Linked DNA regions of Macaca fascicularis. The protein of the gene in region 1 binds, or shares a complex with, the protein of each later gene. Links are inferred from orthologs where the notes say so. Each region holds a gene or a part of one and is shown on either strand. Other genes may lie near its edges. The genes, in order: IZUMO1 and IZUMO1R.

The links.
Region 2: the proteins of IZUMO1 (region 1) and IZUMO1R are in contact, whole or in part, in a crystal structure (PDB 5JKC), measured with the Homo sapiens proteins. The link is inferred for Macaca fascicularis from reciprocal best matches to the Homo sapiens genes IZUMO1 and IZUMO1R. Residues at the interface, in NP_872381.2 of Homo sapiens: Met75, Val77, Tyr134, Val141, Leu146, Trp148, Lys150, Asn151, Lys153, Glu155, Val156, His157, Ala158, Arg160, Lys161, Ser162, Tyr163, Asn239, Ser240, Ser241, Pro242, Ile245; in NP_001186135.1 of Homo sapiens: Lys42, Tyr44, Glu45, Ile48, Leu58, Trp62, His65, Leu66, Asp67, Gly80, Leu81, Leu82, Met83, Pro84, Gly85, Arg87, Ile91, Met145, Ser146, Tyr147, Gln171.

Annotation. Positions count from the first base shown.
Region 1 is NC_088393.1:56,731,569-56,747,135, reverse strand, and holds IZUMO1 (izumo sperm-egg fusion protein 1), read left to right. Parts: upstream 1-7,689; 5' UTR 7,690-7,810; coding exon 7,811-8,144; intron 8,145-8,485; coding exon 8,486-8,560; intron 8,561-9,250; coding exon 9,251-9,337; intron 9,338-9,593; coding exon 9,594-9,614; intron 9,615-10,281; coding exon 10,282-10,362; intron 10,363-11,842; coding exon 11,843-11,943; intron 11,944-12,202; coding exon 12,203-12,356; intron 12,357-12,667; coding exon 12,668-12,845; intron 12,846-13,117; coding exon 13,118-13,238; 3' UTR 13,239-13,258; downstream 13,259-15,567. Other genes in the region: FUT1 (galactoside alpha-(1,2)-fucosyltransferase 1), read left to right, coding at 2,484-3,584; RASIP1 (ras-interacting protein 1), read left to right, coding at 13,863-13,999, 14,517-15,202. UniProt on the Homo sapiens protein: Essential sperm cell-surface protein required for fertilization by acting as a ligand for IZUMO1R/JUNO receptor on egg.
Region 2 is NC_088388.1:93,305,376-93,320,710, reverse strand, and holds IZUMO1R (sperm-egg fusion protein Juno), read right to left. Parts: upstream 8,661-15,335; coding exon 8,523-8,660; intron 7,782-8,522; coding exon 7,572-7,781; intron 7,129-7,571; coding exon 6,993-7,128; intron 6,869-6,992; coding exon 6,600-6,868; 3' UTR 5,301-6,599; downstream 1-5,300. UniProt on the Homo sapiens protein: Receptor for IZUMO1 present at the cell surface of oocytes (oolemma), which is essential for species-specific gamete recognition and fertilization.

The DNA.
Region 1 (15,567 bases):
GCCACCTCGCCCGGCTAGTTTTTTTTTTTTGTATTTTTTAGTAGAGACGGGGTTTCACCGTGTTAGCCAGGATGGTCTCGATCTCCTGACCTCGTGATCCGCCCGTCTCGGCCTCCCAAAGTGCTGGGATTACAGGCTTGAGCCACCGCGCCCGGCCTTGTGTCTTTATTTCTTACAATCTCTGGTCTCCGCACAGGGGAAGAACACCCTCAAAGCCCCGTAAGGCTGGACCCTACATCAGCCGCCCTGCTTGGGGTTGGCGATGCTGGAGGTGGGCCTTGGACCAGAGAAAATGCTTTCATTAGGTGACAAGCGGGCAGAGGCCTTTGTTTCTGGCGCCCGCAGCCACGGCCCCCGCTGACGGCATGGGAAACAGATCCTGTTCCACTCCGGTCTCCAGCATTGGAATGGTTGCCTCGGTACAATGCAGGTCTGGAAAGTAGCAGTTTAGCACGGGACCCTAGAATTCCCCAAAAGGAGTGACTAGAAGCTGGGATTCTGGAATTTGAGTGTGGACGGCGGGTTGGGTGGGTGGGAGATCGGAGACCCTGGTGGGCGCGGGGGGCACCTGCAGGCTGGAGGCCCTCGCGCGCTCCCGCGGCAGCCTGGCAAACAGGTTCTCCATTCCCCAGGAGGATGCGGCCGGGGGCGGACGATCGCTCCACTCGCCCGGACCAGGTGCGGGGGCCCTGCCCAGCCGCTGGGGCGTGGCCAGGCTCGACGCACCCAGGTGCCGGGGGCCGACTCTAAGCCCTGGCACCAGAAGGGAGAGGGCGGCGGATTGGACCTCCCGGCTCGAGCATTGCAACTGGGAGCTCCGTCTCCGGGTCCACGCAATGATGCCGCGGCTGCTCGCAAGCCAGGTAGGCTGCCCCGGGTGAAGCCTTCACGGAGGTCAATGCCGGGGCGGAGGGGCAGGGCGCGGTCCCCCACATCCCCGATCTGGGGAGCGGTGGGTCCAGGGGCCATCGCCCTAGCCCGGGGCGCTGGGGCTCGGCGCCAAGTGAGGGGCGGGCCTCCACCTTCCAGCCATCTGCCCAGCCCGGGAAGGCGGACGCTGAGAAACTCCCGGCCGCGCCCCCTCCTTCCTCCCCTCCCCAAGCCCTCGCTGCCAGTCCGGACAGGCTGCGCGGAGGGGAGGGCTGCGAGGCCGAAGAGCCGGACGCCTGGCGTTCCAGGGGCGGCCGGATGTGGCCTGCCTTTGTAGAGGGCGCGCTCCGGCCACGCAAAGCGGACTGTGGATCTGCCACCTGCAAGCAGCTCGGGTAAGTGGGGACTGCCGGTGCCTGGGACCCAGCAACAACTCCTTCAGAGCCAGGAGGTGCACCCCCAACCTCTTCTCCAGGTCTTCCTAAGGCCCTAAGACTCTCCGCCGCCTCCCCAGCCATTACTTCTCCAGGAACCAAGATGCTGCTTCCGCTCCTGACCCTCCAGCCTCTCTTGTTTTACTTTGACTATCGCTTCCCATCACCACCTCTGTGGTGGATTTTGTTCCTCACAGACAGCCACTCCTGAGAAACAGGCTGATGGAAGAGTCCAGTATCAGCGGACCTTACAGGAGGGGAGACTCGAGATTCCTGCAGGAAAGGTGCAGGAACCTGGACCATGGCTGTCTGTTTTGCTTTTTTTTTTTTTTTTTTTTTTTTTTTTTTGAGAGGGTCCCTCTCTGTCGCCCAAGCTGGAGTGCAGTCAGTGGTGCTATCGCGGCTCATTGTGAGCTCCGGGGATCCTCCCGCCTTAGCATCCGGTGTAGCTGAAACCACAGACACGTGCCGCCATGCCAAGCTATTTTTTTTGGGGGGGGGGGAACGGAATTTCACTCTTGATGCCCAGGCTCGAGTGTAATGGCACGATCTCGGCTCACCACAACCCCCGCCTCCCGGGTTCAAGCGATTCTCATGCCTCAGCCTCCCTAGTAGCTGGGATTACAGACTTGCGCCACCACGCCTGGCTACTTTTGTATTTTAAGTAGAGACAGGGTTTCTCCATGTTGGTCAGTCTGGTCTCCCACTCCAGACCTCAGGTGATCCGCCCGCCTTGGTGTCCCAAAGTGCCGCAATTACAGGTGTGAGCCACCCCTCCCGGCCCATGCCAAGCTAATTTTAATTTTTTTTTGTAAAAGCGGAGTCTTGCTCTGTTGCCCAGGCTGATCTTGAACTCCTAGGCTCAAGGAATCCTCCCATCTCAGCCTCTCAATATGCTGGAATTACAGGTGTGAGCCACGGCGCCCAGCCAAATCATGGCTATCTTGAAAACCACTTGTTTTCCAATCCCCATGCCCCGAAATTCCAAGGCTCTCATCCCTCAAACCTAGGACTCCGGCGCTCTCTACCTCAGCCCCAGGAGTCTAAACCTGTGACTTTCTCTTTCCCTGGGACTAAGGAGTGCTGCACCCCAGGCACCTCCCTTCCCCCACATCCCTCCTCAGCCTCCCCTCCCTAGTCTTTGTGTATTTGCTAATTCACCTTTCCTCCCCTGCAGCCATGTGGCCCCCGAGCCGTCGTCAGCTCTGCCTGGCCTTCCTGCTAGTCTGTGTCCTCTCTGCGCTCTCCTTCTTCTTCCATATCCACCAAGACAGCTTTCCACATGGCCTACGCCTGTCGATCCTGTGTCCAGATCGCCGCCTGGTGACACCCCCGGTGGCCATCTTCTGCCTGCCAGGTACCCCGGTGGGCCCCAACACCTCCTCTTCCTGTCCCCAGAACTCTGCCTCCCTCTCCGGCACCTGGACTATCTATCCCGATGGTCGGTTTGGTAATCAGATGGGACAGTATGCCACGCTGCTGGCTCTGGCCCAGCTCAATGGCCGCCGGGCCTTCATCCTGCCTGCCATGCATGCCGCCCTGGCGCCGGTATTCCGCATCACCCTGCCCGTGCTGGCCCCAGAAGTGGACAGCCGCACACCGTGGCGGGAGCTGCAGCTTCACGACTGGATGTCGGAGGAGTATGCGGACTTGAGGGATCCTTTCCTGAAGCTCTCTGGCTTCCCCTGCTCTTGGACTTTCTTCCACCATCTACGGGAACAGATCCGCAGGGAGTTCACCCTGCACGACCACCTTCGGGAAGAGGCGCAGAGCGTGCTGGGTCAGCTCCGCCTGGGCCTCACGGGGGACCGCCCGCGCACCTTTGTGGGCGTCCACGTGCGCCGTGGGGACTATCTGCAGGTTATGCCTCAGCGCTGGAAGGGTGTGGTGGGCGACAGCGCCTACCTCCGGCAGGCCATGGACTGGTTCCGGGCACGGCACGAAGCCCCGGTTTTTGTGGTTACCAGCAACGGCATGGAGTGGTGTAAAGAAAACATCGACACCTCCCAGGGCGACGTGACGTTTGCTGGCGATGGACAGGAGGCTACACCGTGGAAAGACTTTGCCCTGCTCACACAGTGCAACCACACCATTATGACCATTGGCACCTTCGGCTTCTGGGCTGCCTACCTGGCTGGCGGAGACACTGTCTACCTGGCCAACTTCACCCTGCCAGACTCTGAGTTCCTGAAGATCTTTAAGCCAGAGGCTGCCTTCCTGCCCGAGTGGGTGGGCATTAATGCAGACTTGTCTCCACTCTGGACATTGGCTGAGCCTTGAGAGCCGGGGAGATTTTCTGAAATAGCCTGATCTTTCTAGAGCCAGCAGTACATGGCTCTAGGCCTGGCATCTTCTGGAGAAGTCTGTGGTGTTCCTGAAGCAAATGGGTGCCCGTTTCCAGAGCGATTCTAGTTGGGAGAGTTGGAGAGAAGGGGGACCTTTCTGGAACTGTCCGAACATTCTAGAACTAGCAAAACATCTTTTCCTGATGGCTGGCAGGCAGTTCTAGAAGCCACAGTGCCCAACTGCTCTTCCCAGCCCATATCTACAGTACTTCCAGATGGCTGCCCCCAGGAATAGGAAACTCTCCCTCTGGTCTATTCTAGAAGAGGGGTTACTTCTCCCTTGGGTCCTCCAAAGACTGAAGGAAAATATGATTGTCCAGAGCAAACATTCACCAAGTCCCCTTCTGTGTTTCTGGAGTGATTCTAGAGGGAGACTTCTTCTAGAGAGGGCCAGATTTGATGCCTGTAAAGAACCCTGCAGGGCCCTTAGAGACAGGATGGGGTTCTGGAAATCTAGATAACTAAGGTGAATAATCTTTTTAGTTTTTGTTTTCTCGCCCTGTTGCCCAGGCTGGAGTGGCCTCGCCCTGTTGGGTCTCGCCCTGTTGCCCAGGCTGGAGTGCAGTGGCGTGATCTTGGCTCACTGCAACCTCCGCCTCCTGGGTTCAAGCGAATCTCCTGCCTCAGCCTCCTGAGTAGCTGGGACTACAAGCACACGCCATCATGCCCAGCTAATTTTTGTATTTTTATGTTGGCCAGGATGGTCTTGATCTCTTGACCTTGTGATCCACCTGCCTCGGCCTCCCAAAGTGCTGGCATTACTGGCATGAGCCACAGTGCCCGGCCCGGATAATTTTATTTTTTATTTATTTATTTATATATATTTTTTGAGACGGAGTCTCTCTGTAGCCCAGGCCAGAGTGCAGTGGCGCGATCTCAGCTCACTGCAAGCTCCGCCTCCCGAGTTCATGCCATTCTGCCTCCGCCTCTGGAGTAGCTGGGACTACAGGCGACTGCCACCACACCCAGCTAATTTTTGTTTGTATTTTTAGTAGAGATGGGGTTTCACTGTGTTAGCCAGGATGGTCTTAATCTCCTGACCTCGTGATCTGCCCGCCTCGGCCTCCCACAGTGCTGGCATTACAGGCGTGAGCCACCATGCCCAGCCCGGATAATTTTTTAAAATTTTTGTAGAGACAAGGTCTTGTGATATTGCCCAGGCTGTTCTTGAACTCCTGGGCTCAAGCAATCCTCCCACCTTGGCCTCCCAGAATGCTGGGATTACAGACGTGAACCAGCACACCTGGCCAAGTGAAGAATCTAATGAATGTACAACCTAATTGTAGCATCTAACGAGTGCCCCACCATTGCTGGAAAAATCGAGATGGAAAACAAACCATCTCTAGTTGGCCAGCGTCTTGCTCTGTTCACAGTCTCTGGAGAAGCTGGGGTAGTTGGTGAGCAGAGCAGGACTCCGTCCAGCCAGCCCTCCAGCCCCTCAAAGACTTTTTTTTTGTTTGTTTTGAGCAGACAGGCTAAAACGTGAAAGTGGGGTGAGGGATCACTGCTAAAATGGTGCAGCTTCTGGAGCAGAACTTTCCAGGGATCCAGGGACACTTTTTTTTAAGCTCATAAACTGCCAGAGTTGCATATGTTGGGTCTGAGTTCAGGTTTCCTCTCACAATGAAGGAAGATGGTCTTTCTCTGCAGGTGGGCCGCTGGGGGTCTGGGATCTGTTTTCTGGAAGTGTGGAGGCATAAACACACCCTCTGTTTTTGTGACAAGCTGGCAAGCACTGTGCTCATTGCTAACCATTGTCTGCCCCTGAACACCCAGAACCATTACATCTGGCTTTGGGCAGGTCTGAGATAAAAGGATCTAAAGGCCTGCAGACACTGGACCCAGCCTCAAATCCAGGCAGGAGCACGAGGTCTGGCCAAGGTGGACAGGATTGTCGAGATCTCAGGAGTCCCTTGCTTTTTTTTGGAGGGTGAAAGAAGAAATCTTAAACTTAGTCAACTCTGATCACATCCCCTATCTACTCATCCAGGATCCCATGCCTCCAAGCTTATCAGGGAGTTACACTTACAGTACAATTGTTACAGTTACAGCACTGTTCCCAACTCAGCTGCCGCAGGTAAGAGAGCAGGAGGTATGAATTAAAAGTCTACAGCACCAACCTCTGTCTCTGCAGCTTTTTTGGAGTCAGAGCTGCCGTGTGTGTGTGTGTGTGTGTGTGTGTGTATGTGTGTGTGTGTGTTTGTGTGTGTGTAAGGGAGTGGAGGAAAAGGTGGGTACTTCTGAAGACTTTTTTTTTTTTTTTTTTGAAGACCGAGTCACCCAAGCTGGAGTGCAGTGGTGTGATCTCAGCTCACTGCAACCTCCACCTCTCGGGTTCAAGTGATTCTCCTGCCTCAGCCTCCCGAGTAGCTGGGACTACAGATGTGTGCCACCATGTCCAGCTAATTTTTTTATTTTTAGTAAAGAGGGGTTTCACCATGTTAGCCAGGCTGGTCTCGAACTCCTGACCGCAGGCAATCCGCCCACCTGGCCTCTCAAAGTGCTGGAATTACAGGCGTGAGCCACCGCGCCCGGCCCTGAGGATTTTTATTACTCGTGATTGGTAGTACTGTCCCTACTTAGATCTGACAGCTCCTTGTTGCTGGACTTGTGAGAGTTGTGGTCCCTGTTTTTCTGGTTTCCTGTTTCAGTCACACAGGAGAGACAGACCTTCCAGGACCCAAACGTCTGAGCCCCCAGTTGCTCTCTTCTGGACCCTCAGTATTGGCCCCCAGTCCTCTCCTCCCGCTGGGACCTCCGCGTGGAGAGAAGAGGCGGAGGAGGGAGCGAACGGATTATCATTGAACTACATTTCCCGGAAAGCTATGGGGTTGGCAGCGCTAATCAGCTACAGAGAAAGAGGCCCCAGGACATTTTGGGAATTGTAGTCTTATGGCTAAAATGTCCACTTCGTAGCTCGACAGCCGTTTCCAAGGACCGCGGTAGGGGCGGCAGCGGCTTGGGGGGCCGGATCTAGCCCAAAGCCTGGGTCCTGGGGCAAGGAGAGGGGAGAAAGCTGAACGCTAGAGTCCGGTCCTTGACTCTGGAAGCCAGAGCAGTCAGGAGCCTTCCTCTTCGGTAGATGCAGGGAAAGTTCTAGTCCAAAAAGGCTGCAGCCTCTGTGACGTCATGGAGCGATAGGCGGGGCCTCCCTTTGTTGCAGTCCAATCAGACAGAGTTGGGCTTCTGGGTGGGGCCAAGGAACGCCCAAGGAATATCTATAAGGGAATTCGGGCCCCTACGTGAGAAGCTCGCAGCGGGTGGTTGCAGGAGTTCCCTGAGGAGAGGGGATCCTCCGTGACTCAGACCCCCATCGAAAAGCTCTCGATTTCACGCAACCAACCTTACCCTCGTCCCCAACAAAATCCTTGATTTTAGCCCTGGGAAAATTAGCGTAGGTGGTCATGACCCCGGGTTCTTCTTTAAAAGCCCTCAGAACCTGGACCGGGCTCCTCAACGAACCCCAGTGTTAGAAGCCACAAGTCAGGAATCGAGGTCGGGGAGCGGCTCTTTAGGGTGCATCACTGTTCAGGATGCACCAGGGCTCCTTTTTCTAAGCAGAAGGGTGCGCCCCGCAAATTGGGAGCCCGTTAGTTTTGGGGAAGGGTGAACAAGGGCCCCCTGGGTCTGGAGGACCTTATGGAGTCTTGCTTAAGTCTTAGTACGGACCCCAGGTTTAGGAATTCGGAATGTGTTTTGGTTTTGAAGGACTTCCGAGTTTGACAATATCGGGTTGGGTCTGTGTTAGATGATTTATTGGTTTGGGCTTTGAATCTTCAGCTTGAGGTTCAACAGGTTTTTGGGGGCTGGCGGGTGAGTGCCTCACGGTTGCGCTTAAGGGTTGGAGTTCAGGATCACGTCAATCTGGGGACTTGGAAAATTCCATAGTTTGGGATTTTGGGAAGGGGCGCATGGGGTTGGGAGATTCCAGGTCCTGAGTTTGGGGACTTACGAATGCTTCCTGTTTAACGGTTTTTCTGATCTCTCAATTGGGATGCAGTGAGAACCCTAAATTTGGGGTCCCCTGGGTTGGGGCTCAGTTTCACACTTCGGAGGCATTTGATGAACGACATAGGTCCTCTTTATTTGGAGATTTCCTGAAGATCCTCTTTTCGCGGTTTGGGGACCCCATGGGTAGGGAGCCCAGTGGGATTTCTTAAGATGGATTTTGGCTTTTCTCCGTTTAGCGTTCTCCTGCTCTCGGTTTGGGGTGAGAGCAGCCTTCCTAACGGTCTTCGGGAACTGTGCGCGCCGGCTGCAATGGGGCCACATTTTACCCTCCTGTGTGCGGCGCTGGCCGGTTGCTTGCTTCCTGCCGAGGAGTGTGTTATGTGTGACCCGTCTGTCGTGCTGGCGCTAAAGTCCCTGGAGAAAGATTATCTGCCTGGCCATCTGGACGCGAAGCATCACAAAGCCATGATGGAAAGGGTAGAGAAAGCCGTGAAGGATTTCCAGGAACTGTCGCTTAATGAGGATACCTATATGGGGGTCGTTGGTGAGGGCAGGGGGGACCACGGACCCCTGGGTCCTGGGAAAGGGAAGGAGGGAGATAAGACCAGGGGGAGGAAGAGGCTGACAGCAAGGTCTCCGGGATTCGGGAATGGAGAAGGCTGAGATGCAGATTCTGAAGTTCCCTGGGGCTAGTACATACTGTTTTCCCTATCCTTATCCGGCGATTTTACGTAATAAAACTACAATTCCCAGAAGGCAACGGGCGACTGAGTCCTTAACCAGGCCTATCCTTGCCCAGTGGCCTCATGGGTATTGTAGTTTCTAAGGTTAGGCGCGCCAATGAGACAGTAAGGCTGGAATCTGGGGTTGTATCTCTCTTGACAGACGAGGCCACACTGCAAAAGGGGTCCTGGAGTTTGCTGAAGGATCTGAAACGCATCACAGACAGTGATGTAAAAGGTAAATGCACCAAGGGAGTAGGGGTCCAGAATCTCTCAGGGAAGCCAGCATTAGTGCTGCCTGGTCTCTTGGTCAGATACTAGGCTGTGGGGCCAGACTGCCTAGGTTCAAATGCCTGCTCTGCCACTTCCTAGCTGTATGCCCTTGAGCAAAGGACTTGGAAGCTCCCTTGGCTCTAAAATGCTCCCTCAGTTGTTCAGTTTAAATGTGTATTGCTGGCCGGGCGTGGGTAGCTCATGTCTATAATCCCGGTACTTTGGGAGGCTGAGGCAGACAGATTGCTTGAGCTCAGTAGTTCAAGACCAGCCTGGCCAACATGGTGAAACCTTGTCTCTACAAAAAATACAATATATATATATATATATACACATATCTATAACCTGGGCATGGTGGTGTGTGCCTGTAGTCCTAGCTACCTGGGGGGTTGAGGCCGGAGGATTGCTTGAGTCCAGGAGGTTGAGGCTGCAGTGAGCCATGATTGCACCACTGCACTCCAGCCTGGGTGGCAGAGTAAGACCCTCCCCCATCCCCCAAAATATGCATGGCTTAGCCTAGCGGCTGGCATTACGTTAGACGGTCAATTTTAGTGCCCTTTCCTGAGAAGGCCAGGAAGTAAACTGCCAGCTCTGCAGGCAGAAGTAAACTTCCAGCACCTCACACGTGGGACTGGGGGTTCCTGTGTCTTCCCAGGTGATCTCTTCGTGAAGGAGCTATTTTGGATGTTGCACTTGCAAAAGGAAACCTTTGCCACCTATGTTGCTCGATTCCAAAAAGAGGGTGAGAGAAAATGGGAGTCTGTGTCCCCCAGCTCCTCTTTCCACTATCCAAGAGTCCCTGTCTCCAGCCCCTTACTTCTCCAAGCCCAGTTCCTCAGCTTCTCCAACTGCCTCCTCCTTCAGACCCAAGTCTTTTCTCCCTCAAACCCAAGAGCCCAAAGCCCAGCTCTTCCCCAAACCTCCTCTTCCATCATCTTTCATTTAGAAATCTGACTCTGTCATCTCTTTCTCTCTCTTTTTTTTCTCTTTTGACACAGCTTATTGTCCCAACAAATGTGGTGAGTCCGGATTACAGAAGTTAACCCTCTAGTCCTCATCCTGCCCTCTACATATTCTGCTTCCCCACTCGCCTTTTTGAATCCTGATGGTTTTGTCATTCTCCGCCTTGGAGAGGTTCCTGGGTCTCCACTATTCTTTTTCCACCTTGGATTTCTTGGGGAGCAGGTCATATTCTACTTACACTCTTTTTTTTTTCTTTTTTAAGACAGTCTCACCCTGTCGCCCAGGCTGGAGTGCAGTGGTGCAATCACGGCTCACTGCAACCTCCGCCTCCGAGGTTCAAACTATTCTCCTGCCTCAGCCTCCCTGAGTAGCTGGGATTACAGGTGCCCACCACCACACCCAGCTAATTTTTGTATTTTTAGTAGAGACAGGGTTTCACCATGTTGGTCAGGCTGGTCTTGAACTCCTGACCTTGTGATCTGCCCACCTCGGCCTCCCAAAGTGCTGGGATTACAGGAGTAAGCCACCACGCCCGGCCTTTACTTACACTCCTTACTGAGCCTTGTTGGAGTCCACTTCCTACCCACCTGCGTCCTGGTCCTGTCCCTTCCTCTGACCATGTAGGAATGTCGTAGATGACCTGGCCCCAGCCCTTGGCCCTGACCTCTCCTTTTAGCCATGCCCCTTAGTGGGCAAATACAAGCCTTGACTCTGCCCCTCCAGGTGTGATGTTGCAAACTCTGATCTGGTGCAAGAACTGCAAAAAGGAGGTTCACGCTTGTCGAAAGTCCTACGATTGTGGGGGTGAGAGAACTGTACTCAGCAGGAGGAACTGGTGCAGGTGGGGTGGGGCGATAGGAGAGACAGACTAGAGAGAGCTTAGATGGGGGTGTGGGGGCAGTAGACAAGAAAAGGCAGGGTTTAGGCCAGGTACAGTGGCTCACACCTATAATCCCGGCACTTTGAGAGGCTGAGACGGGAGGATCGGGAAGCCAGGAGTTTGAGACCAGCCTGGGCAGCATAGCGAGACCCCATCTCTACAAAAAAATTTTAAAATCAGCCAGGTGTGGTGGTGTGTTCCTGTAGTCCCAGATACTTGGAAGGCTGAGGCAGGAGGATTGCCTGGACCCAGGAGTTGGAGACTGCAGTGAGCTACGATCATACCACTGCACTCCAGCCCGGGCAAAAGAGTGAGACCTTGTCAAAAAAAAAAAAAAAAAAAAGTCCGGGCGCGGTGGCTCAAGCCTGTAATCCCAGCACTTTGGGAGGCCGAGACGGGTGGATCACGACGTCAGGAGATCGAGACCATCCTGGCTAACACGGTGAAACCCCGTCTCTACTAAAAAATACAAAAAACTAGCCGGGCGAGGTGGCGGGCGCCTGTAGTCCCAGCTACTCGGGAGGCTGAGGCAGGAGAATGGCGTGAACCCGGGAGGCGGAGCTTGCAGTGAGCTGAGATCCCGCCACTGCACTGCAGCCTGGGTGACAGAGCGAGACTCCGTCTCAAAAAAAAAAATAAAAAAATAAAAAAAAAAGAGGCCGGGCGAGCTGGCTCACACCTGTAATCCCAGCACTTTGGGAGGCCGAGGAAGGTGAATCACGAGGTCAGGAGTTCAAGACCAGCTTGGCCAAGATGGTGAAACCATCGTTTTTGTACTAAAAATACAAAAAAAGTAGTCAGACATGGTGGTGGGCACCTGTAATCCCAGCTACTCGGGAGGCTGAGGCAGAGAATTGTTTGAATTTGGGAGGTGAAGGTTGCAGTGAGCCAAGATGGCGCCACTGCACTCCAGCCTGGGTGACAGAATGAGACTTCGTCTTAAAAAAAAAAAAAAAAAAAAAAGCGAGCGAGAAAGAAAAGAAGAGAAAAGACGGGGTCACAACAAATGTAAGAGGATTAGGGGAGGGTAAAGAACCGTGAAGGAGGCCGGGCGCAGTGGCTCATGCCTGTAATCCCAGCACTTTGGGAGGCTGAGGCAGACAGATCGCCTGAGGTTAGGAGTTCGAGACCAGCTTAGCCAATGTGGTGAAACCCCGTCTCTACTAAAAATACAAAAATCAGCCGGGCATGGTGGCGTGCGCCTGTAGTCCCAGATATTCAGGAGGCTTAGGCAGGAGAATCGCTTGAACCCGGGAAGCGGAGGTTGCAGTGAGCCGAGATCAGGCCACTGTACTCCAGCCTGGGCGACAGAGCAAGATTCCATCTCAAAAAAAAAAAAAAAAAAAAAAAACCCAAACAAACAGAACCGTGAAAGAGTGTCCCATGGTCTTCCTCCACCCCCAGAGCGCAATGTGGAGGTTCCTCAAATGGAAGATATGATCCTGGACTGTGAGTTAAACTGGCATCAGGCTTCTGAAGGCCTCACTGATTACAGCTTTTACAGGGTGAGGGCCTCAACTTCTGTAATCCTTGAACTCCCTAGACTACAATACTTGTGTACTGGATCTGTGGGCCTGCACCCACGATTCTCATGACCCAGGCGGGTGGTCTATTAGGTGTGGTCTCTACTGGGGATCCCGTGCCCCAACCAGTGACACCCTGGACACCCACCTCCCACACTGAGGCCCTGTGATCTTCTCAACCCGGTACTCCCCCAACCCCTGAATTCCTCAGGCCTCAGTGACCCCTTGAGCTTGGGTCTAGGTTTGGGGGAACAATACGGAGACTTTGGTGTCCAAGGGGAAAGAGCCCACCCTGACCAAGTCCATGGTGGGTCCAGAGGATGCAGGCAGCTACCGCTGCGAGCTGGGCTCTGTGAATTCCAGCCCAGCCACGGTCATCAATTTTCGCGTCACAGGTCAGTGCTGTGGGGTTGAGAGAAGTGTAGGATTCAGGGCCCAGGAAAGCTGGGGGTCCGCGTCGGGGGCGTGGCCTCGGCGATGGGGGCGTGGCTTCCTGTTGGGTGTGGTTTCGGGGCAAGGGGTGTGGCTTCCCGCCGGGGGCGTGGCCTCTGACCCCGAGGACAGGCGTTCCCTTGGGTGTGTTCAGGCTTTACACTGTTGAAGGCGTGATTATCTCTGGGATGGCAGGCTACCGGGACGGGCTTGCCTTTGCCAGGGCAGGAACTCCACGCCCTGCCAGGACTGCTCTTTACACTTTCTCTAACAGTGTTGCCCAAAAGGGTCGAGGAGGAAAAACCGTCCCCAAATATCGTAACCCCGGGGGAGGCGACCACGGAGTCGTCCAATACCCTCCAGCCTCTGAAGCCCGAGAAAATGCTGAAAGGCCGCCTTCTGGGGCTGCTGATCTGGGGCTCCCTAGCACTGATAACCGGCATTACCTTTGCGTGAGCAACCCGTTGAAGAAGGCTGGCTAGGCTTGGAGTAACGGGCGGGGCTTCCAGGAACCCAACGCAGAAGCTGGGCTGGGGGCTACTGAGGACTGAGAGCAGGACTTTCCTGGGGATGGAGTGCGGGGGGCTTGCATAGGAGGACTTCGAAGGGCGAGGCTTAGATAATTGCTAGAATAAAGTCACACAGGGGGTGGTTGGGAGGGGTGTCCCCCACACAATTACTACCCAACCCGGTTCCATGATCTGCACCCCACTCCCACCCCTAGGATATTTTGTCGAAGGAAGGTGATCGATTTCATCAAGTCCTCACTGTTTGGCCTTGGCAGTGGAGTGGCCGAGCAACCCCAGGTCCCAAAAGAAAAAGCCACAGATTCGAGGCACCAATAAAGATTTATCTTGTTGTCTAAGCATCTGACTCACTCCCCTGGACGGGGCTGATCCTAGCCTTTGGTTCCCCGAGAGCAGAGGTCTGGGGATGGGCTCCGGCCTGAGGGAAGAAGGGCGGGAAACCAGGACCCTTGGGTCGTGGAGGGGGCCATCTGGCTGCGACGTAATTCCAGAATCAAGGAATGGGGCAGGGCCAATCCTCCCCAGATCTCCTCCCCCAGGCCTGGTCTCCTCACAGGACGCCCCCTCCCCGCTCTTCCTGCCGGGTTTCCTCTTGCCTTTTCCTGTCCCCCACCCAGTGCTGGGAGCCGTGGCAGAGGCAAGAGCAGTGGAACTGACCCAGGCCAGTGGAGCCAGGGCCTCCGGGTGTGCCGGACCCGAAGCAGGGTAAGAGCCAGGGACCCAGCGGCCCAAACCCTCCTCCCTGGGACCCAAGACTCAGTCCCCCAGCCATCTTCCATCCCAGGACCCAGGAATCCAGGGTACCATCCCTCTCCTCCCTCTGGGCTCGCAAGTCTGAGCCCCAGTCCCCTCCTCCCTCTGACTCGGAGTCCAGGTTCCCTCCACCCCATTCCCACAAGAGTGCCTTAGGAGTTGAGGCCTTCCTCGCCTTCCCTTAGGGCCATGCTATCTGGTGAACGGAAGGAGGGCGGAAGCCCCCGCTTCGGGAAGCTTCATCTCCCCGTGGGCCTGTGGATCAATTCCCCCAGGAAGCAGCTGGCGAAGCTGGGGCGGCGCTGGCCCAGCGCAGCCTCTGTCAAGTGAGTGCCATCTCTGCAGGACTCCTGGCCCTGCACACCTGCCTCCCATCTGTCCCTGTTCACGGCCCAGTCCTGCAAAGGGTTGGCTCCGGTCCTCATCCTGAATTGGGCAAGCGAGCTTGTGGGTAGTGCGAGACGGTGGGGCGCAGCGATACCAGGGCGCTGTGGGAGTAAGAGCTAGGCCAGGCAGGAGGTGGAGTGAGGCCAGATCGGCACCGGGATGAGGACAGAAAGAGCAGGGGGATTGATTCACCTTCCTTCCTCCCCTCTCTGCTCACCTCTTGGAATTTCCCTCTGTGGGACTTGCCTTTATTTATTTATTTATTTATTTATTTATTTTCTCTCTCTTTGCCTCGCGTCTCTGTGCCAACCCTCACCCCCGCCCCGTCCATCCACCCTGGATCCCTGTCCTCTCTCTGGGTCTCTGCTCACTTCCCTCCTAATCTGTCCTCCACCCCCGTCTTGGCGTGTTGTTCGGGTCTCTCTCCCGCGACTCTGTTCCCCGGCGGACTCCCAGGTCTTCTTCGTCGGACACGGGGAGCCGTAGCAGCGAGCCGCTACCTCCGCCCCCGCCGCACGTGGAGCTGCGGCGAGTGGGCGCTGTCAAGGCGGCCGGGGGAGCCTCCGGTAGTCGCGCCAAGCGCATCTCCCAGCTCTTCCGGGGCTCGGGGACCGGGACCTCGGGGTCCGGCGGCGCGGGAGGCCCTGGGACCCCGGGGGGTGCGCAGCGCTGGGCCAGCGAGAAGAAGCTGCCGGAGCTGGCGGCGGGCGTGGCCCCCGAGCCCCCGCTGGCCACCCGCGCCTCCGCGTCCCCGGGGGTCCTCAAGATCTTCGGCGCCGGACTGGCATCGGGCGCCAACTACAAGAGCGTGCTGGCCACGGCGCGCTCCACGGCGCGCGAGCTCGTGGCCGAGGCTCTAGAGCGCTACGGCCTGGCCGGCAGCCCCGGTGGCGGCCCGGGCGAGAGCAGCTGCGTGGACGCCTTCGCTCTGTGCGACGCACTGGGCCGGCCCGCGGCGGCGGGCGTGGGAAGCGGCGAGTGGCGGGCGGAGCACCTGCGCGTGCTGGGCGACTCAGAGCGCCCGCTGCTGGTGCAGGAGCTGTGGCGGGCGCGGCCCGGCTGGGCGCGGCGCTTCGAGCTGCGCGGTCGCGAGGAGGCACGGCGCCTGGAGCAGGAGGCCTTTGGGGCTGCAGATGGCGAAGGTGAGCTGCGGGCGGGGCTCTGGGGCGGGCACTCGGGGCCAGAGAGGCGGGGTCCGTGGGGCGGGGCCTGGGCGGGGCTTGTGGGACCCGCGGGCTGGCTGGGGGCGGAGCCCGCGGGAGGGGACTGGACGGTGCGTGTAGGACTCTAGCAGGTGGAAGGCAGAGCTAGAGCAGGGCCGGGGGCGGCCAGATGGGCGGGCCTGAGAGTTGGGTGGGGCTTGTTGATTGAGCAGGAGTTTTACGGGGGCCGAGGCTGGGGCTTAGGCGGGGCGGGGGCTGGTTGCTGGTGGTGGCTTGGAGTGGCCTGAAGTGGTTCCGAATTGGGGTTAGGGCCTTCTGCAGGTATTTCAGACTGCCTTGGAGGA
Region 2 (15,335 bases), on another chromosome or scaffold:
ACAAAAAATGGGAGACTGGTGTTGTTGGCAGGAAAAGTGCCCCCTGGGGATGCAAGAAGGGAGTGGACACGAAAGGGCTTGAGCTATCTCAAGGGCTGGAGCTGGGGAAAGTGATCTGACCTTTCCTCCTTACCCCCTAGTCTCCAAAGTCCATTGTATCATTCATATACCTTTGCATCCTTGTAGCTTAGCTCCCACTTGTAGCTTAGCTTCCAACACCAGCCTGGAACACCAAAATAATCTTCATTTCTGGGTCTTCCAACAGCGAAAGCAATAGGACATTGGGAAGCAACTGAGGAAGCAGTCGTTTTTGTGGAGGAGGTCAGTCGCGGTGGGGTGGGAGAGGAATGGCAGGGGTGCTCAGCGCTCCTCCGTCAGGTAGCAGAGGCGGTCTAGGAACAAGTTCTCTGTGCATGACTGTCAGGCTGCAGCAACTCCTGTGCTTGGTAAGGGATCTTACCGAGGAAAGTTACTCAGAAAGAATCTTAAATCAAGGGCAGCATACAAGAGGGCCACTTTGCTTTGTTTTTTTATTTGCCACCCAGGACTTCCCATTGTTCCTGAGGAAGGACTTGAATAGGGTTTGATGTTCCCACATCATCAAAAGTGACTGGGTTGCCTCCAGGAGAAGGAACACCCTCCAGTAGCTCCCTGCTACCAAGACCTAGTACAATCCAAAGTGGGGGAAGTTCCTCTTATAAATGGAAGCATCCGAGTACAGTTATCCAAGGCTGCTGGTTTCTTTGGGATAGTTCTCCATCCCTAACATCTTTTACCTATTTTGTGGTACTTTATGCAAAAATATGCCCTAAGCTTCTATTGGTTCTATCCTCTAATATTTCCCAAATCTGCCCCTCTTGTGTCCACTGCCTCTACTGTAGCCTGGCTACATGCCTTCTAGAAGGTTGCTCACAATTAGATTTCTAGCACCTGCCTTCTGATTTTCTTTCTTTCCTGCAAGTTCATTCTACATATTGTCCTCATCCTCCTTGTCTTCCATTTGGCTGTCTTTCAATCTACTATTTAAACAACTGTTGAGTCTTTAATAAATCTACAGCTTCTGGTTACAGAGAGTTGAATGAATACCTGCTATTCCACTAAAATGATTATTTCCATGTTCCTTTATCAAGAGCATGTGAAGGAAACCATCAGCGAACAAGAGATTTCAACAAATATTTAGAAGACAGGAAGCACATGAGAGCACATCAAAGGAAACAAGAAGGCCAGAGAAATTGGAGGCGGCAGCTGTAGTGGACGAAGGAGCTGATTCATCAGGCAGAAACTCTGAGAGGCTCTGGGCTCAGAGTTGGCAGGCATTGGGGGCAGAGCAAGAAAGTCTTTACACACCACTGGTCCACATGTCCTCTGCCCAAATCTAGTGCTCAGGCAACCCAACTTTAGCCCCTGGGGTAGAATAACCTTCTCTAAAAAATTAAATGAAATTCTGGATAGTGCTGAAGTTGGGTTTTGTTTTCGTTTTTGTTTTTTTTAAGATAGAGTCTCACTCTATCACCCAGGCTGGAGTGCAGTGGTGCAAACTTGGCTCATTGCAACCCCAACCTCCCGGATTCAAGAAGTCCTCCTGCCTCAGCCCCTCAAGCAGCTGGGACTACAGGTGCATGGCACCACCACGCCCAGCTAATTGGACAGTGCTGAAATTTGACATATGGTTGTTAGCATCCCAGAGAGAACCATCCCTATTCTGCCACGCAAAGGCTCCATACCCCAATATAGCTCCTGCTAACTTGGTCTCGAGAGACTAAATATACAGATGGACAATGACCAGACCACATATAACAATAGAACTCTAACCCATTATCTATAGTAACCAGCCCAGAAGCCATCCTACTATCTTGCAAGTCAGACTTGTAGGACATCAGAACTCTCTCTCTAGCAATTAGCCCAGAAAGCCGAACAATCAGCCCTGCAGTAGCCCCAAACAGCCAGGAGTTGATTAATAACTGTTCCCTAATTTTTGTCCCTGGGATTGAAAGACTGAATCTACAAATGAACAATGGTTAGCTGTATATAAAACAGGATTCTGATCCACTAGTAGCCCAAGAAGCCAACCTCCTAACTGCACTTGGTAAGGCATCTTACCTTCAGGAAGATGCAGTGTAGGGAGCCAAAGAATAATCCCTATCACAATTGACCCAACATGGTCAAGAATTTTTTATTAATAGCCAGCTTTCTTATTTTTGGCTCCATTTACAACTTAGGACCAATCAGAAAAAGCTAAGTATGTTCCCTGAACCAAACACATAGGATGCCCATTTCCAGTTAGCCTGCCTTCAGCTGCCCCTGCCCACAGCCTCTGAGCCTAGCAGACTTAAAGCCTTCCCTTTTTTTTTTTTTTTTTTTTTTTGAGATGGAGGCTCGCACTGTCACCCAAGCTGGAGTGCAATGGTGCGATCTCAGCTCACGGCAACCTCTGCCTCCCGGGTTCAAGCGATTCTCCTGCCTCAGCCTCCCAAGTAGCTGGGATAACAGGTACCCGCCACAACGCCAAGCTAATTTTTTTGTATTTTTAGTAGAGACAGGGTTTCACCATGTTGGCCAGGATGGTCTTGATCTCCTGACCTTGTGATCTGCTCACCTCAGCCTCTCAAAGTGCTGGGATTACAGGTGTGAGCCACCACGCCCAGCCGAAGCCTTCCCTTTTATCCACTCAAACTTTCCCACTCCCCTCCTTGCCTTGAGTCTCTGGCAAAATGCAAGTGATAGTAGCTGACTCTCTTGCAAGCTCTGAACGAATAGCCTTTGCTTGTTCTTATTTGGGTATCTTCATTAATTTTCACACTCTGAAGCAAGGTCTTTCTCTCAACAAGCTCTTCCCACATACCAATAAACCTTTACAAATTGTTACAAATAGCAGCAGGGCTGCTATTTAGGGGAAATGAAGATCCTTATATAAAACCATGGAGGAAACCTAAAATAGCTCACTATAAAATCAACTCAGCTCCTCATTCTTAAATATGACAGCCAAAGATAGACAGTCAAAGCCACCGGACTCAGAGAGAACCAGCAGCACGTAGGAGAAAATCAAGGAAACAGAACAGATTGACCTTGGAGGAAACAGGTCATTCAGAGACTCAAAACAAGCTTAAAAACATTCTAATTAGATCTTCAGTGACATTTGAGAAGATATTACATCCATGAAACAAAAAACAGCAGGCTGTGAAAAAAAAAAAGAAATAAAAAATCTCCTGGAAATTAAAAGTGGATTGCTGGAATTAAAATCATTGGAGGATTAAGTTGAGAAACTCAAACAGAACAGAGAGCAAAAACATAGTCTGAACGTCTGGCAGAAAAGGTAAGTCACATTTTGTAACTTTTTCATAGCTAAACCCAGAAATGGTTAGAAGGGGTGCTCCTAGGGTAGGAACCTGGTGGATAGGTGAACTGACAGCCGCTCTCTCGCTTTGCATTAGAAATCCTTTGGCCGATGTGTGTGAGCCATGTGCATGGATCACTCTGATTAAAACACACAATCTAACTGCAAATCTGACAGTTCTGCTCCATTGCTTACAACCCATCACTCCTCCTGTTGACCAAAATTAAGGCTATTTGTAACAATTTGCAAAGGTTTGTTGGAAGCAGAAATAATTTACAAAGGTTTCTTGGAAGCCAAATGTGAATATTGACCCAGGAAGACACACTAACAAAGTTGGGAGTCTTCTGGAGTGTTACATGTTGGAAGGCTTTTTATAGGAAAGTTTAGGAGAAGGGAGGGGATTTCGCATCCTGAAGTTGTCCTTTTTCATTGGAGGGTACAATATAGAGGTTACAATTATTGGATACAGATTGCAACATACAGGCTAAAATGTCTACGTGGAAGACAATCAATAAAACTTTAATATGTAAATTTAAATCGGCACTCCTGGCTGGGCACGGTGGCTCACACCTGTAATCCCTACACTTTGGGAGGCCGAGGCAGGTGGATCACAAGGTCAGGAGATGGAGACCAGCCTGGCCAATATGGTGAAACCCCATCTCTACTAAAAATACAAAAATTAGCTGGGTATGGTGGCAGGTCCCTGTAGTCCCAGCTACTAAGGAGGTTGAGGCAGGAAAATCGCTAGAACCCGGGAGGCGGAGGTTGCAGTGAGCTGAGATTGTGCCATTGCACTCCAGCCTGGGCGACAGAGAGAGACTCTGTCTCAAAAAAAAAAAAAAAAAGAAAGAAAGAAAGAAAAAAAAAATCAGCACCCTTTTCAATGTCGGTAGGCTACACATTAAGCAGTATGCCAACAGGGAACTCACAATAAGATTCTTTTTCAGGGAAAGGATGTCACCATGAACCACAAGGCCTACCCTAGGTGGGTTAACTTGGAAGCCTTTTTACTTTTAAACTGTCAATTGTGACCTGTGGGTAATGACTCCTAATCCCATGAAGGGGGAGAACTCAGTCTCTTTCCTGACTGTGACTTGCCACCAGCCATCCCTCCCTCTCTCCCACCACTCCTAAATCCACGTCAGTTCCACTCAACTACAGACCAGGCTGTTCAGTGTAAGCCTGTGAGCTGGAACTGTGGGCTCAGACTTAGCTGGTTTCAAACCTACTTATATTTATGTCCCAATCTGAAAAATGAGAATAGTAAAAAATGAGGATAATATTATAATACGACAAGGATAATAAGGCTTTTGTGAGGATCAAATGAACTAATATATATTATATACTTCCCAGAGATACTGGGTGCATGGTAAGTGATCAATAAGTATCAAGTTATTAGGGCTTCCAGACTACTCTTGTTTTGTCCACTCCAATTTTAACCTTCCTTTGGCAATTCCTTATATTTAAAAACACTTTAAAAAGGGCATTAACCTCTCAGCTTTATTATCAACCACACACCCACAGACACCTCAGTTTTCAAGAGATTTTCAATTTTTTAAGCTCTTTAAGAGATTTTTGATACATTCATATGTATTTTTGAAGCCACAATCTATTCATTTAAGAGCAATTGAAGGTCCTGCTTCATCTGGCTCATACCTTGGGGCCTCCACTGGGTTTTGACTAGCACTTCCCTTCTGTTCTCAGTGAGCTGCCCTCTTTCTTTGGGGCTCCAGCCTCACCCCTTTGTGAGGCATTCTCAGAGACCCCCACCCAACCCCTTTCTTTCAGACTTCCTATGAACAGCTTTGTCCTCACTGCAGCTGTCATCTACTACTCTAGACACTGAGGGCCGCACTTGGAAGGACGCTCTTTGTTGGTTTTGTGACTCCAGTGCCTCCCCTGAGACAAGGTCTGCTCAGTGGATGAGCCTGTGAGGCCGGTGCAGAAGGAATGGAGGCCGAGTTTAAGCAATGAGTGGGGCTGGCTGGTGTCTGACAAGAATGAACAGTTGTCAGAAAAGCCAGCCAAATCAAGTGCAGCCATGCTAGAACCCTCTCTTTGTCAAATAAAATGTTGTGGGGGAAAAGCATCACCTACTGCTGGAAAGCCGCCCAGCTCCAGGCTCCAGAAGATGCTGGATGGGCAGGTCAGCTGCTTGTCCACTTACAGCCGGGGTGCGAGGTCAGGGCCCCATCCCCAGTTCAGTTCTAACACTTTATTCTTGAGGTCGTGGCGTACCATCTGAGGAGCACACACTATCTCCTGGCAAACAAGGTTGCTAGCTTTTTCCTTTTTCTTCTTTTCCATAAGTGAAATCCAACTAACTCATTACTTTAGCAGAGAGAGAAACCAAGGCAGTCTTAATGAAGATCACAGGAGTTGCCAAAAGTCATATAGAAAGCAAAGAGGCCAGATTAGAACTTGGGTTTCCAAAATTTTAGACCAGTGTGCTGTGATTCTGGGGTAAAATGAATGGGTTAAAAGGAAGAGGGAACCCTGAAGGCAGTCGAGATAGCAGTTTTAATTTTGGCAGCCAAAATAGAGCTGATGCACTGGGTGGCCCCATTCCTCTCGCCCTGGCTTTGGGTCCTTTGTATGGGGTGTCACTTATTGAAAAAAAAGAGGCATTGAAAGTACTCCCATCAGAGAGGTGTTGTGAGGATGTGTGGCAGATAGTAAGAGGGTAATAATTGTTAGGCAAGTAACAACCTAACTCTGAGGCTTCAGTGCAGTGGGCAAACTGCTTCCCGCTGTGTGCATGCTGGGTCCCTGCTCGTAAAGCTAAGACAGAGGAAGTCAAGCAGAGGAGAGGTTGAGTGCCGATTTATTGGAGACACCATCGGAGGACGGGAGGCCAGGTCTGCCACCATGAGCTCTGTCATAGAAAGGGGTAGGCGTGCACTGGATGGGAAAAGTCCTCGAGCCCCTTAAAATCTCCCATCCCTCAAGGCAGCAGGGGGCCAGTCACCTTGGTACTTCCAGCCCCCAGCTGCCTCCCAGGCCAGCTAAGGCAGAGCAGAGCAGTGGAGGGGGCCTCGGGCCAAATGTGCAGGGCTCAGGCACCAGCGGCTGAAGCCTCAGTGGCCACTTCCTTCCTCAGGCCCTCCTCTAAAAGCAGTGGCATGGGCTGGGGACTGCAGTCCCACCCAGTCCCTAGCCCATGCCACTGCTTTTAGGGGAGGGCCTGAGGAAGGAGGTAGGCTGTGGCCTGGCCTGACCCACAGTTGGCGGACGTGCAGGAATGTGGGTTGGAGAAGAAGGGCTCTCAGGAAAGGAATGGCAGGAACACGGAGCAGACCATGAGGGTGTAGGACAGTTCCCAGGATGGGGCAGAGCTGGCGAAGAGGCGGGCCACGGCCACATTGGGGTTGCCCTGAGCAGGCTCAAACCACTTCTGGAGACACTGCCCACTGTTCCGTCGCTCAGGGCTGGCCTTGAAGGAATTGCTCCAAGTCTTCTCACACAGGTCAGCTGGGGTGGGGAAGTAATGGGAGAAAGGGAGGCACTGGGCCCCTTTGGGGCAGCGGTTCTTCCCTGCAGGGGATGGAGGAGGGACAGCTTACCTCCTACTCCCTCATTCCTAGCCTATGCACCTGCACCCTTGTGGGGACCACCAAGGGTCCTGCTTCCCCACCAAGGCGTTGTCAGCACCACTCACCCTGACTCCAGTCCCAGCCGCCACGCCAGTTGGATTTGCATGTGTAAGACAAGCGACAGTCTTCCCACCACTCCTCACAGTCCTCCTGGCACAGCGGTGCATTCACGACTCGCTCTCCCTGCCTACTCGGGGCCTCCTGGGTGCAGTCATAGCCAGAGATAAGAACATTAATAGCAGAGATGTGAAGATTACTAATAGCTACAGTGGTGTTTGTGCCAGCTACCATATGTACATCATCTTCTATAAAGTCTCTAAGTATTATTTTACAAATAACACCAATGAGGCTAAGAGATTTAATAGTATGTCCTGGGCTATACAGCTGGTAGGGACAGAACATGAGACTGAGGCTCAGGTCCGTCTAACTCCACCAAGCCTTCTGTGGTGATAGCCCTGCATCCCACTGTTGTCAAAACAGTCTCCCCCATGTGGTTCTCCAGCAGGGGCCTCTGGGTCTGCTCTTGTCCATAGGGAGATAACACCTCCTGTTCCTGCTAGCATCCTGGAGGCATCAGCATAAGATAGGGTGAAAGCTCTGGCTGTTAATATAATAACAGAGCATTGCACAGATCTGCCTCCTACCTCCCACCCCAGGCTTCCCACTGGCCGGATCCAGGGCCCCAGGTTTGGGGAGCACTCATAGAAGCAGATGGCCTGGATGAAGTGCTTCCGACAGCCAGGCATCAGCAGTCCACAGTGAAACAGGCTGAAGTTGTAGAGTGGGGACACATCCAGATGGGCTTCCCAGCTTGTTGTGAGGGTGCAGCAGGCATTGTCCTTCCAGGGGATGCACTGAAGGCAGACGAGGAAACAAAAGGCCCAGGCATAAGGGGCAAGGATTGCCGGGTGTCTAGGGAAGAAGGGCGCTGAAATGAAAATGTCCCTTAGGAGAAGGCCTGAGCAAGTGGGATGCCTTTAGCTGGTAAGCCCCTACATAAGAGGAACCCTGATAATCTCTCAATGTTTACCCAAAGGGCATAGGCACCTGCACACTGACCCCCTGCCACAGGCTGCTACAGTCCTCTAGGAACACAACTTCTGGGCTCTCAGCTCCTGAGAGGCAGCAGAAACCTCTTAGGGCAAAGCAGGTAGAAGAGCCCCAGCGAGACCTAGGGGAATCTGGGGTTGCATTGAGTGGGAGGGTCTCATAGGCAAAATGCCAACTGTGTTCTTCCTCCCACATCCCTGGCAATTGCCTTTAGGAGCTTGGGGAGGGGTTACATACGTTGTATGTTTCCCCAGGACCTGTTGGCAGGAAGGCTTGTTTTCATCTACGCCGAGTCAACAATGGACCTCTGGGATCACCATCTGCCCTGGCTTTCCCAGTGGCTGGAGCAGCTCAGAAATGGGAACTTTGAATCACTTGGCTCTCATGGTCTCAAAAAGGCATAGTCTCTTTCCATCTAGTTGTCTTTGCTCAACTCCCAACCCCAGGGACCAAATGATCAGGGTTGATGAGGTTTGGAGACCATCTTGGCATTTGTGTCCCTTCCCTGATCTTCCCCGTCCCATCCCCAGGTCTGGCCACTGTACCTCCTCATAGAGCTTGTCTTCTGGGCCGGGCACTCTCTTGTGGTGTTTGGCATTCATGCAGATGTTGAGTAGCTCATCCCCAGCCCAGGTGGGCATGACTGTCAACAGCTCTAGTAGGAGTGGCCACCACCATGCCATGGCCTGCTGCAGAGAGACCAATGCTGTACACTCGTTGGAAAGGATACCCCACTCCACCCACTTCATCATAGCAGGCGCTGAAAAAGGAGGATGGGCTTCAATCTCCCTCAAGCGACTACAACACTTTGGCTGCTCCTAGGACCTTCTGTTGGAGGCAGCATCACGGAATGTCAGGGCAGGTAGAATAATCCTCGGAGGCCTGACACAGTGCTGGAGGCCTTGCTGGCCCTGCAGAGCCAGGGAAATGCTGAGGCACGAGTCAGATAGGAGGAGCCTTCTACATCCAAAGACTGATCCCCATCACAGGAATGAGGAGGAGGGCCCTTCCTATATCCAACTCTGTTCTGGGTAGTAGTGGTAATGAGAGGTAGTAGAAAGAGAGACAAAACAAAGCAAAAGGCAGAGAGGGGCCCTGGGCTTCAAGCACCCAACCTCTTAAGACACAGGGCCCCTCAGCTTCATAACCCAGGAGCCCATGGCTCCCCCAGCCCCCCAGGTCTGGCAGGAGCCTGACCTGGACCCATCATGGTGAAACTGGAAACTTCTAGCCTACCCTGAGCTAAGAGCCTCAAACATCCTGGGAAAGAAGAGCCCAGCCCCCTCTTCAGAGTCCAACCTGAAGTCCAAATCTAAGGCTATTCTCTCTCCAGATCACCAGTTTCAAGTTCAGCCATGACCTCGAATATTTTTAAAGAATCAGGTCTGTTAGGTAAAAGGAGGAAAGACGCTGCCCCTTCCAGCACTCTCTTCATACTCACTTTCAAGGCAGGGGCCTCCAGGTGCTCTTGCTCCCTCCTCCCCCTGAAACTGTGAGGCTGAGGAGAGTTCCACGTCCCACCCATTTATTACCCTGTCTGATTTCTACTAGGTCCAGGTGCAGGAGGAGAACTCCACGTGGCTCCCATTAAACAGCGTCTGTCTTACTCAGCTCTGCAGGCCTGTGGGTTCTAAGAAGTTTGCTTCCTCAGAGAAACAGACCCCATCGTAGGCAAGATCTGGGGCTCTTCAATAAGCTATTGGGTTCAGCTCTCAGCTCTGCTACTCACTAGCTGGCTCCCCTGGAGAAAATGACTCAAACTCTGTTAGTTTCCCTCTCTGGAAAGGAAGTTTTTATTATGAGATTGGGAAAAATAAAGAGAAAGTTCATGAACAAAAACCTTGGCATTGTGCCTGGGATAGAGGAAGTCTTAATGATTTTAAATTGTATTCTTTTATCCTCTCTCCACACGCCCCTCCTATGTTCTGTTCCGTAGCTCTACCTGCCCTTCACTGTTAGCCAGGCATCAGCTCAGTCACCTGGTGGCTTTTCCGACAGTGTCCTCGCACAGCCCACAGGAGCTATGGTCCCTGCTGGAGAGCAGACCCAGGACACAGGATGCAGAGATGAAGTGTGGCCTTGGGGACCCAAGAATTTAAACATACGAACAAAGCCAAAGCAAACAAAACAAAGAAAGTCCCTCCATAACCCACCAAACAGCTCCCCTTAGCACACAGGAATCGTCCTGGGAAATATTCTACAAGTGTCCTCATCAGTGATCATATTTGCAAGACTATCCTTTTCAGCTAAGGAGAGACTAGAAACTTGGATAGGATTCTTGGGAGAGTCCTAAAGATGATAAAAACGCTGGAAAAGGAGCATATTTCTTTGTTTTTATAATATGTTCTCTGTCTCTCTGAAAGAGAAGTAGCTGAAATCAGTGAAGTTTTATTGACACAAAGGAAATGAAAACAAAACACTAAAAGCATTTTTTAATGGAATAAAATAAAATACATTCTGTGGTGTTCAGCTACACAATTGATGTGTAAAACGTGTACTCATGTTGGAAAATGACATTCTCCACACCTAGGTAATCACAGCCACTGAATGCGGAGCACAAACAAGGATGCAGGCACTGGCCTGGTGCTGTCTACAGGATCTGATGTCTCAAAAAGACCTCCAATGTGAACACCCTCCTTGTTTTAGGTGTGGGGAAATTGAGGCTCAGAGGTGAGTAGTGGAGCTGGGATATAAATTCAGGTATACTCGACTCCCTATCTAATGCTTAAGGACCAGGTGAGGGAGAAACCTCCAGGACTAAAAGAGTCGATACTGTCTGGTTCTCAAGTGAGGTCTCCTTCTTAAAAAAGGTTAAATGCCATAATGAGGTTGTACATGCATTGGGAGGTGTGTGTTGGCTTTATTCTGGAAAAGTGACAGTTATCAACCCATTCTCCCATGTCCCCACCTGAAGCAGAGCCTGGAGTCTCCTCCTTAGGTTCAGATACCAAATGGTAATAGCATCTCCATAGCCTGGCAGGGGGAGAAGCAGGCTCTCATATTCTGTTCAGTTCCTCACGAATATTCAGGAAGCTCCAAGCCTTGACAAGGTAAGAGATTTAGGGTTTAAGGTTCAATTTAAAATGGCTGCGGAGGTGCCAGAGCCAAGAATCCAGACATGAATCACAACAGTAATTATTGAAATGGAAATAGGTCCTCTGACAACCGTCCTTCCTAGGGTGGGAAGAAGGACTAAGGGCGGCTTGCTAACGGTCTCCGGGACAAAGCTGTAGGAAATGAGCTAAAATTGCAGCCAGCGCATATGCAGGTGGAGGGAGGGAGGGAGGGAGGGAGGAAGGAATTACCCAGTGAGTGAGGCTGCCTTTCAGAGAACCATCAGGCCGGCCAGCATCTGCTCTCGGGGGAGAGGCAGCTTGAGACCCTTGAGCAAAGCTTATTTTTGCCTTATTGTGACTGAGTCTTCCAGAGCAATCTGCTTTCTGACTGAAAGCAGATAAATCAAAGCTGACTGTAGATGAAGCAATTTGAAGTGGCTGATTCAAAACAATTTTATTCTAAAAACACACACACACACACGCACGTACACACACACAACAACACAGAACACTTCCATTTCCAAAAGAAGAGGTACAGCTGCCTTCAGAGGGCTCTGAGGGAAGACAAGGAGGTCAGGGCAGTGGGTGAAGCAACCCAGCCTTGGCTCTGGTTTGGGGCCACTGGAGATGCTGGGCAGTGATGACTTCCCTCCCCTCTCCCGTCCTCAGGTCACCCAAGGGGCTGAAGCCCACTGACTTCGAGAACAGACTACGAAAGTGAAGAGCTAGAGCCTGGAGTCTCCTGGTGAGAATCCGCTGTCAGAGGCCAGCCGAAGGGGACTTCAGTGATTCCAAGTTCTTAGTGGGTCTTTCATGAATTCTTCTCACCCCAAACCCAATTGACCATCCTCATCTAAACTCTTGATTGGTTTCTGTCTAGGGCAGGTAAACAGGGATATTAATTTATTCTTCCCTCTATGTCTATCTAATCGCCAGAGCTGTTGATTTCATTTTCTAAATATCTCTTGAATTCACATCCCTTACTTACTGTCTGGACCATGATCAGCTCTTGCCTCAGTTACTGCAACAACCCCCTAATTAGCTCTCCCACCCTTTAATGGAGCTTTAATCATGTAGCAGCCATAATGATGTAATGTCTCAGAATTTTCTTAATTTGTATAAATTTAAGGGTATAAGTGCAGTTTGGTTACATGGATATATTGCATAGTGGTGAAGTCTGTGCTTTGCACATTGTACTCATTATGTAATTTCTTATATTTCACTCCCTCCCGCCCTTCCGAGCCTCCAACGTCTATTATTCCATGTTCTATGTCCATATGTACACATTATTTAGCTTCCACTTTTAAGTGACAAAATGCAGTATTTGACTTTTTGTTTGAGTTGTTTTACTTAAGATAATAGCTTCAGTTCCATCCATGTTACTGCAACATACATGACTTCATTCATTTTTATGGATGAATAGTGTTTCATTGTATATATTTTACCACATTTACTTTATCCATTCATCTGTTAATGGACACTTAGGTTGATTCCAAATCTTTGCTATTGTGAATAGTGCTGTAATAAACGTAAGAATGCAGGTATATTTTTCATATAATTATTTCATTTCTTTTATCAGTATTTTCATTATGAAAGTTTTCAAACATAAAGTTGAGATAATTTTATAGTCAACTCTCTCCCATATGCCCACTACTTAGATTTCACCATTACCATTTTTTTATATTTTCTTTATTATATGTTTAGCCAACCATCTTTCTCTCTATTCAGGTATCAGTCTTATTATTTTTTATGCATTTCAAAGTAAATTGCGGATATCAGTAAACTGATGTCTTCCTAAGTAATTCAAGCCTGCATATCATTAACCAGGGTTCAACATTTCTTTGCAGTCTTTGTTTTTCAGAATGATCTTTTAAAAATGTAAAGACAGTTATGATACTCCCATGTTTAAAACCTTTCTAGACCTTAAGGTAAGTCCCAGATCCTTAACGTGGCACACCAGCCCTTTTAAATGTGGTTTTTATTTACTTTTCCATCTTAATTTGTTGTCCTTGTTCTCATGGATGCTCTGGGCACTCCTGAGGCCTGATGGCCCGTCTTTGTCCTGCCCCTTGCAGGGGCCCCTCTTCCAGGGCTGTTCTGTCATAGCCCAGCCTCTGTGTCTAGGGATACATACGCTTCAGCTCTCAGAACCAAAGGCTTCCTGTCAGGGAAACTTGCATGGCCGTCATGGGCTGGTGAGATGTCTCTTGGAGCTTATGCTTGCTGCAGTCATTGCACATACGTCCTGCCCTTGGAAATGAATGCCTGCAGACAGGCTCGACCTTGCTTCTCTTCTGTAAGCAGCTGCAGGAAGATAGTAACGATCACAGGGTCAAACACAGTCCCTAGCCCAGAGTGCATACTCTGCAATTTGTTGAGTAGATGAGGAGAAATACCTGAGTAAAATAAAACTACATTTCCTTCCTTCCTTCTTTCCTTCCTTCCTTCCTTCCTTCCTTCCTTCCTTCCTTCCTTCCTTCCTTCCTTCCTTCCTTCCTTCCTTCCTTCCTTCCTTTTCTTTCTTTCTTTCTTTCTCTTTTTTAGACAGACTCTTGCTCTGTTGCCTAGGCTGGGATGCAGTAGCACAATCTTGGCTCACTGCAACCTCCACCTCCTGGGTTCCAGCGATTCTCTCACCTCAACCCCCTTCCCGAGTAGCTGGGATTACAGGTGCACACCACCATGCCTGGCTAATTTTTTGTATATTTAGTAGAGACGGGGTTTCACCATGTTGTCCAGGCTGGTCTCAAACTCCTGACCTCAAGTGATCCACCTGCCTCGGCTTCCCAAAGTGCTGGGATTACAGGCAGCAGCCACCATGCCTGGCCCAAACTGCATTTCTTAAAAATGTAGTTTTAACTCAGACACTTCTCTAGTTTAACCTGACCTATCCCACCTCTCTTTTCTGCCTCTCTTGCTTCCTGCTGCTGAGTGTAATAGCTCATAACTGAGGTTTGTATGCAGTTTCACAATGTGCAATTGTTCTTGAGACATTTTCAATCCATCCAGCATCTCTTCCTGGAATATTAATTCAGACACTTCCCTAGTTTAACCTGACCTATCCCATCTCTCCCTTTCCCCTGCCTTCCTTCCTTTCCTCTTTCTCTTTCTTCTCCTTTATCATATGCTCACCCATCCTTTTCTCTCCAACTTAAGGTGACCTCTCCCTTCTCCCTCTCCCCATCCTTCTTCCCATCTCTTCCCTCTTTTCTCTTTCTCCTCTCCCTCCCTCCCCTCTCCTCTCTTCCTTCCTATCCCCTCTTTCTTTTCCTTCCCTCCTCTATTCTTCCTCCTTCTAGTTTATAGTGACCTCTCCTCTCAGCCTTTCCTCCCGCCCCTCCCCTCCCTGCCTTTCCTCTCTCAGTTTTCTTCCTCACTCCCAGATTTTCCAACCAGAGCCTCTTCAGTTTCTGATAACTTCTGTGATATTTCAGAGTGTTAATGCTGGGGCGTCTCATTGCCACTTGAAGAAGGCCACTTTTTAGGTCTAATCACCACAAAGGAAATGAGTTTGAAGCTCATCAACTGTTGAAAAGAGTCCAAGGGAGAACAGGGGAGAACAGAGAGCAAAACACCAATGTTCTATGGACAAGGAATTAACTGAAAATTACAGATGGGAGAAAGAAAAAATGTCTTTACTCTCCTTATTTTCCTTCTTGGGCTGATGGCTCCCTTGCTCACCATCACACTTATGTCACATTGTCACATTCATACCAGGCTGCTGCTGGGTGTATCAGAGGGCATTATTAACCAGTAACTAAGGTTTGCATGCAGTTTTACAGTATGCAACTATTCTCCATACATTTTCTTTCTTTTCTTTTCTTTTTTCTTTTTTTTTTTTTTTGAGATGGAGTCTTACTTCATCGCCCAGGCTAGAGTGCAATGGCGCAATCTCGGCTCACTGCAACCACCACCTCCCGGGTTCAAGCAATTCTCCTGCCTCAGTCTCCCGAGTAGCTGGGATTACAGGCACGTGCCACCATGCCTGGATAATTTTTGTATTTTTAGTAGAGATGGGGTTTCATCATGTTGGCCAGGCTGGTCTTGAACTCCCAACCTCAAGTGATCCACCTGCCTTGGCCTCCCAAAATGCTGGGATTACAGGTGTGAGCCACCATGCCCAGCCTCCATATATTTTCAATCCACCCACCATCCCTTCCTGGAACTGTCCTTAGACCCTAAGTTCCACCTCAGCTACCAAACTGTCTTTTCTTCCTAGCTATGTTTTGTATAAAACCTGTGTATGTTCATGGTGGCTCCTCCGTGTCTCCTCATGTTCATTATCCCTCCCTGCTGCCTGAC